Canis lupus familiaris: one gene and its partner. The main gene of each other region encodes a partner of the protein of the gene in region 2 in a complex. Links are inferred from orthologs where the notes say so. Each region holds a gene or a part of one and is shown on either strand. Other genes may lie near its edges. The genes, in order: DCP1A and ARHGEF6.

Region 1 (3,815 bases), on a different chromosome or scaffold from region 2:
CTAACTTCTACTGAGCCTTCAGATTTTAGCTAAACATGAGCTTCCTTAGATGGTTTTACTTGACCCCATATCTCCAAATCTGGGATACTGTTATGGCACCCCAAGTGTGTCTGGCCCAAGGTGGGCACTCAGTGAGTACCAAGGGAGCTGGGGATAATCTGGATCTATGGTCTGAGTCACATGCGGACTCCTGGACTTGTCACGCAGAAACAAACAAAAACCCCTACAATGGACGCTGTGCTGGGAAAATACCAGTATTGTGTCTTGAGTTGTATCGGTTGAGAGATCTGGGACAGTGGAACTGAGTTACAACACCACATACCAATGATCTGGCTATTCACTACAGGGCTCCTTACCTCCCATCTTCTGGCCCTGGATACCTAACAAGCATCTCTTTGAAGGGACTGCCTAGTGGCAGGCAACATCAAGGCCTCTGTAGTTTCACCCACCCAGTCAGAGCCACCCAGCCTCCTGCCAGTACCTGAAGGGGAGCAAGCACCATGTTGCTCAGGGATGCTGAGGCTCGCGCTGCTGCGGTCTTCGGGGGAGGCTCTATGAAGCTCTCAGGAGTGGCCAGCTGGCCAGCTGCTGGGGAAAAGCTGGGTGCCAAGGCACCTTTCCCAAGTGATTGGGTCTGTATTTGGTCATGCTGTGGGGTCAACCTGAGTTTCTGGAGAAGATCGACACTTGGGAGGGATGTACCAGCTGTGTTTGTCACGCTCAGTGGGGCCCTGAAGGGGCTCTGGGTGGCAGTCAGATTGGTGTGGCTCAGCTCAGGGACTGGCTGGGTCAGGAGCGGAGACCGCTGTCTTGGCGTGGTCTTCACTGCCTGCATGATGGTGGCGTTCCGGGGTAAGCTGGGGGGAACCTGTGCTGTGGGAGCGTCTGCTGGTAGAGTGGGACTGAGCACGGGGCGCAGGGGGACGGCATAGCCTGGGGCCTGTTTTTCACCGGACTGTGTGATGGAGGCAGGAGTGATGAGCACTGGGGCAGGGACCTCAGGTGGGACTGGGTGGTGCGCAGCAGGACGGACACCCAGGTTTTCTGATGGAGGGACTCCTCCTGACTGTTCAAAGGAAAATGGTAGCAGTGAGCTGGACTCCTTCTGGGAGGCATCTCCTGGCAGCTTCTCCACTTCTTCTGAATCTAGACCCATGACGGCTGGCTGTTCCTTTGGCAAAGAGGTTCCAAATAATTCTTCCACTGTCAGATGTTTGTGTCCAGATGGAGCAGACTGAAAAAACAAATCAAACCACCCAATGGAAGAAATCTCTTACAAACCAGTGTAACCAAACTTCTTTCCCATCAACCAAAACAGTCTGCAGAAGGAAGGATGGACGGAGTTGGAAAATAAGGACCCAGAACAAACCAAAGATGTGCTAGGGATTAAGGACAAATCATCTCCCTCAGCTGGTGGGCAGAAATTTGTATTCATAATAAAATCCAAGTTTTAGGGACTCCCAGTAGAGTGTTAGAATTCCCCCTTTTCCTTGGCAAATGGATGTAAGGTAAAGGGGCAAGTATCTTATTACAATGTTAATAGTACTTAATTGCCCTATGTCAGTAACACATGTAAGGAAACAATCCTCAAGAGAACAAAGGGACCAAATGCTGAGTATTTCTACTTTTATTTTCATATTTCATAGTTCTTTTTTTAAAGATTTTTAATTTATTTAAAAATAAATTTAACACAGAGAGAGAGACAGAGACACAGGCAGAGGGAGAAGCAGGCTCCTCAGAGGGAGCCCGATGTGGGACTCAATCCCAGAACCCCAGGATCATGCCCTGAGCCAAGGACAGACACTCAGCCACTGAGCCACACCCAGGCATCCCTTATATTTCATAGTTCTTGATAAAAAGCTAGGCATTGCACCTTAAGGACTAGGTCTTGGGCAGCCTGGGTGGCTCAGCAGTTTAGTGCCGCCTTCAGCCCAGGGCGTGATCCTGGAGCCCTGGGATCGAGTCCCGCATTGGGCTCCCAGCATGGAGCCTGCTTCTCCCTCTGCCTGTGTCTCTGCCTCTCTCTCACTCTCTCTGTCTCTCATGAATAAATAAATAAAATCTTTAAAAAGAAAAAAAAAAGGGACAGGTCTTAAGTAAAAGAAAACAAATTTAACTATTTTGTAAACAGCAGGCCATTCCTCCTTTCTACTATCAAATCAAAGAATCCTCAAGAAAAAACAAATCATGTTAAGTCTGAAAATGTTAAGTTTCCATCTATTGCAGTGATCTGGCTTATTGATGCCACTGCAATGGTTTGAAGGAGAAATATTTATGCTTTTTACTCCTGAGCTTTTCTATACCTTCACTTCAAGCACTATGGCCATATTCACCTTAACAAGGTGCCAGGGCCTGTTGTGACCTGGGCCCAAAGGACATGGTAGGAAGTAACAAAGACTTTGACAGAGCTTATGTTCTAGTGGGAGACTAACCTAAGTACTTTGAAAACACAAGCAGTCTCTACATGTTTTGTTTTTTTAAAGTAGGCACCACACCCAGCATGGAGCCCAATACAGAGCTTGAACTTACAACCCTGAGAGCAAGTCCTGAGTTGAGATCAAGAGTTGGACGCTAAACCAACTGAGCCATCGAGGTGCCCCTTGATATACGGGACTACTAAAGTATGTGGACTGCTTAGTTGCTCAGATACATGTTTACATGGAAAAAGACAAGTCACTGAATGAAACACACAGTTTTCAGTACATCAGAAGGCCTATAAAGGTCTGAAACTACACTGCATCTGAAGCAGAAGAATGAAAGCAGCATGGTATGACATTTCTGCAGGAAAAGCACAGATTTTCCCAGGGAAATGTTTTATTCGTGAGATCAACAATTACAGGGTTCCCTTGCTATCTGAAAGCGGATTATTCCTAGGAAATGTTCAAAAGCCAAAATGATAGAAAGTGAAGCAGCAATTACTATTACTTCATAGGGAAAATTTCTAGACTCCAAAGTAACTTCTCTTCGGCTTTTTAAAAATATATTTTATTTATTTGCAAGAAAGAATGAGCAAGGGGGGAGGGACAGAGGGAAAGGGAAAATATCTCAAACAGACTCCGTGCTCAGCATGGAGCCCAACATGGGGCTCTATCCCATGACCCCAAGATCATGACCTGAGCTGAAACCAAGTGCTCAACCAACTGAGCACTCAGGTGCCCATCTCTTTGGCTTTTCTGAGACCTCAGAACACACCTTGCTAATAGATGCACAGAATAAAAAGAGACAAAGCATAGGTGCTCACAGACCCAAGTCAAAACTGTCGCGGCCTGCTGCTGGGATGCTGAGTGGTTCCCAGGGCAGGGGCTCAGCAGACCACTCTCTCTGAGCAGGGTACCACTGTCACACAAACACTAGATGCTATTTTTGCTTTTTATCTTTTTTCATTAAAGCAAAAGTCCTCTTTGGATTTCTTTTGGTCAGCAAGACAGGTACTGATACAGGTCTTCCCTAAAAGCAGAAGTGGACTTCATTTGAACTTTTGAAAAGGAGGGTGGGTGGGACAACTGTGTGTGGTTTAGCAGATGCCCTGGGTACAGTGCTGGGATGGGCAGGGTGAGGGAAGATGCAGCTCACTGGCAACAGGTTCTCAGGGGGAGGGTGTGAGGGATCCCCTTTGTTGAGGAGGGACATGGAGGAAAGGAGGCCAGCACCCAGGATGGAGGATGCAGGGGAGCTTGCTTATGAGGGACGGAAAGGTAAGTGAGTACCACTGTGTAGTCTCTCGTGTCACCTGTTAGGTGAGAAGGGCTGGCAGGGCTGAGGAGAATGTAGATGGGGCAAAGTAACAGCAGTGGAGAAGAGGCAGAAGCCTCCTC
Region 2 (3,915 bases):
AGTCTGCTTCAGGATTCTCTCTCTCCCCTGCCCCTCCCCCACGCATTCTATAAATAAATAAATAAATAAATAAATAAATAAATAAATAAATAAATCTTTAAAGAATAATATTGAAGTAACATTGTATGGTGACAAATGGTAGCTACACTTACTATGGTGGGCACTGTGTAATGTATAGAATGTTGAATCACACATTGTACATCTAAAACTAATATAATATTAGTTAATATTAATATCAACTAATATTAATATCAATATAACTATACTTCCATTTTAAAAACCTACAATCTTTTTTAAATGAATGTATAAGACTTCAGCATCATTTGAATGTACTATAATTTATTTGACTATTCTCCCATTGCTAGTTATGGATGTTGTTTCCATGATTTTGCTTCTGCAAATAAAGATGTAATACACACACACACACACACACACACACACACACACACTGAGGAACAAAGAAGTTACATAATTGGACACTCAGACAAAAGTATCACCTCCTTTGCAGCAATACCCCCAAATATACTGTAAGGATCTATATGATATAAAATAGTGCAATGTAAGTTAATATACAATTTCTACCACAGGGCCAGGCTCTCTTGGCTTTTCATGGCCTCTGTTCTAAAGTGTTAATAGGAAAAAAGTGACAGTATACTTTCATCTCTTCCCAACTCGGAGGGGGGGGATTACTATGACCCCCTAGAGCGGCCAATGGCCTGCTTTTGGTTCCTCCCAGGAGGGAGGCACATTACACAGCCTTTGTCACTGGAAGCCTGCTTTCAGGGCACGGATGCTGTATTAAAAAATAGCATATTCTGAGTTTTGATTTTGTTTTGTTTCATTTTGTTTTGGAACTGGTTTCTGGAAAAGACAAACTAACCAGCCACCACTGGAGACCACCAATCTTAACCATGATCTCCATAAAATGCTACCCCTGTGTAACAGTCAGAAACAACCCAGTACTTTTAGTACAACACCATTTTCACTAGCAAGGCAAGGCATCCCGGGTGGGCTTACCTCCACTTGAAGGGCTGCACATCCTTTCAGGAAGTCACTGATGTTGTTGAGGCAGTCAGCTTCGGTTTGGGGCTCCAAACAGTACTAGAAAAACATAGCCAAATGTCACTTGAACCCTGTTATCGCATGCCAAGCATACACCATAGTCCTCATTTTCTGATAACTAGATAGGTAAGCTTTTTAAGGCAGGGGCCACATTGCTGTCAATCCAGGAAGAGAAATAACCACTGGAGGAAGTGATGTAAAAGTCTAAACGGTCGGTCTGTTTCAAATGTCACCAAACTTCCAGTCCCAAACCACCTATCTCTACTGACAAACTATTTTTTAGCCTTCAGCCAAAGTGCGGAGACAGCAAATTAGATCCAGGCTGTGTTTTGACCTTGGTTCTTGCTTTTAAGTTATTTTCTTGCTCCCTCCTCCCCATGATAATTTATTAACACTCTATCCTCCCATTTACTGTTTGTTACATTTGGTTACAGTTCTGCATGTTGCACTACCACTTCAGCACTGTTTTTCAAGTTTCAGAGAAATTATAAGTAAACCAATTTGCTCAATAAAAATACCAACCAGTACAAGAAGGCAAAAGCACTCACGTTATGCTCATAGTCACGTCCCCTGCTAACCTTAAGAAAGCTGTAGGATTCAACCTTTAAACTTAAAGTGCCTACTTTAGAAATTATCTATCCTTGTGAATATGGATTTCCAACATTAAAACTTTTGGCTTTTTAAAAGAGAGTAAGGTTAGTTTCACTTTGAACACATGTTGCATACAAAACATATATCTGGTTTCTATTGTTTTAACAAACCTTTTCTGACATTTTGGATTATTTCTTCTGGTTGCCTCTGTTTCAAAGGATATTTTATTTCTTTGAGAAGCAAATCAACATTGATTTTAGTCAAACTGTCAATAAACACCATCAATATCTATTATAAATCATCCCGTTATTACACCAATTCATATATACCCCAAGTTCAAAATATGCCCTTGGTACACAGAGAGTAATAACACATATCTCTATGACAGAGCAAATGATACGAGTATTTTCTCCTTGTCCCCTGGCACCAACATTGTATCATGATTTTACTATATTTGGGGGCCAAGTGCTAACGGATAACCTTTCATTTTCTGAGCTTTTCAAGCTACAAAAACAAGACAGAATGCCAAACTCCTAGGAAGAGATTCAAGTGGCAGAGTCCCATGATCCAGGCAACAGAACATCTCAAGGGTTACATTATTGCTGCTCTCTGGTGGTAAGCAATCCTAAAGAGAATGCCCATTTCCCTTACCTTTTCTAGAGAGCCAGGCCTAAGTCTGTTGATCAGTTTGCACAGCACTACCCCATTTTTCAGCGAGGACTTCAAGAACTCCTCTGGATCACAGATGGTCTTTTTGGGGGAATCTAAAACTCCCAAGGATATAAGCCATGTCACGATTCGCTCTTCTGGATTCATCGCTGAGGACTGTATGCTCTGCACAGCTCCCCAGGGCAGCTGCAAGGACTAAGCCACATCCGTAATTGCATCTGCTACTGCCTTCCGTTTTTATAAGTTCTCTTCTGGGGCTTGCAGAGCAAAGCGTTTCAACGACTTTCTTAGATAACGCGACCCCACTCCAATTACAGGATCTTAAAGCCACAGAGATCACACTTAAAAGATGTAGAAATAGAAAGAATAAAAATCTTTGGATAATGCTGGATTTTGTTTTCCAAGCCTGCAAAGCTAACTTACCAGGGTTAAAAAAAAAAGAAGAAGAAACACACATAAACACAGCCCCCCCCCCCAAAAAAAAAACCCAACAGTGCAAGAAGCTGTAAGGGAAGGAAGTGAGGAGGATGCTGGGGAGGGAGGAGAGAGAATGAAGCAAGTGCTCTTGGAAAACACAGGGGACTTTGGCAATGAGACACTCATGGGCCAGTCTGGGGAAACACTGTCAATAAATAGTCTAGCCCCAGTGAAAATCTGGCTGCTGTCAGGAGGAAGATGCCAACTGGCTCTTAGGTCACATAGATCTGAGGCTCATGAAGAAGGTAGGCTGAGAAAATTCTTCCAAGAAATGGCCGGATGTCCTCATACTGTCTCACAGAGATGGTGTGTCATGATCATCCCTTGTAAAACACGTTGAATTGCATGGTGATAACGTGCCAAGCAAATGAAGACGGTGCCTGCTGTCAGCCATCACTGTGTACAAGCAGAAGCTAGAAGAATGGCATTTTACTTTGCAGCCAAAAAGCTATGTTTAGGGAAATAGGCTAAGGATAACATCTGACATCCTGTTTACTTGCATTCTTTAGCAATTCTTTTTCTGGACCTGGTTCCACTACACAATCCAGCTGCAGTACCCCTAGCAAAGGCTCTGACACAGTCCTATGAGAGGGTATAAAACACTTGAAAACAGAACTTTTGAGAACAAAAGAGCACTTGTCCTCTGTCTATACTATAGTCTGGAAAGTTGATGCTTCCCCAACAAGAAACACTTTGCGTTAAAAATGGTGCTCTAGGGGCGCCTGGGTGGCTCAGTTGGTTAAGCATCTGCCTTCAGCTCGGGTCATGATCCCAGGGTCCTGGGATTGAGCCCCATGTCGGGCTCCCTGCTCAGTGGGGAGTCTGCTTCTCCGTCCCTCTCCCCACCCACCCCCCACTTGTACTCTCTCTTGCTGTCTCTCTCTCTTTCTCAAATAAATAAATAAAATCCTTTTTTAAAAATGCTGCTCTGAAAAAAAACAAACCTGGTCTAAAACAAGAGATCTTTTCACAACCAGTTGAAATAGTCATACTATTGGGAAACTTGTAAGAAGACCAATGAGAACAGCATAGCCTTAAACTGGCAAATGCATGCTCCTCCCCATCAGTCACTGCCCCTCCTCAAGTAGGGGATCCTGCTAAGCTTCCGAATCCTTC

The links.
Region 1: ARHGEF6 (region 2) and DCP1A share a complex: the UniProt entries of both Homo sapiens proteins name them as parts of the cytoplasmic complex. The link is inferred for Canis lupus familiaris from reciprocal best matches to the Homo sapiens genes ARHGEF6 and DCP1A.

Annotation. Positions count from the first base shown.
Region 1 is NC_049241.1:36,940,390-36,944,204, reverse strand, and holds part of DCP1A (mRNA-decapping enzyme 1A), read right to left. Parts: intron 1,235-3,815; coding exon 482-1,234; intron 1-481. UniProt on the Homo sapiens protein: Necessary for the degradation of mRNAs, both in normal mRNA turnover and in nonsense-mediated mRNA decay. Removes the 7-methyl guanine cap structure from mRNA molecules, yielding a 5'-phosphorylated mRNA fragment and 7m-GDP.
Region 2 is NC_049260.1:108,084,395-108,088,309, forward strand, and holds the start of ARHGEF6 (rho guanine nucleotide exchange factor 6), read right to left. Parts: upstream 2,752-3,915; 5' UTR 2,470-2,751; coding exon 2,305-2,469; intron 1,102-2,304; coding exon 1,018-1,101; intron 1-1,017. UniProt on the Homo sapiens protein: Acts as a RAC1 guanine nucleotide exchange factor (GEF).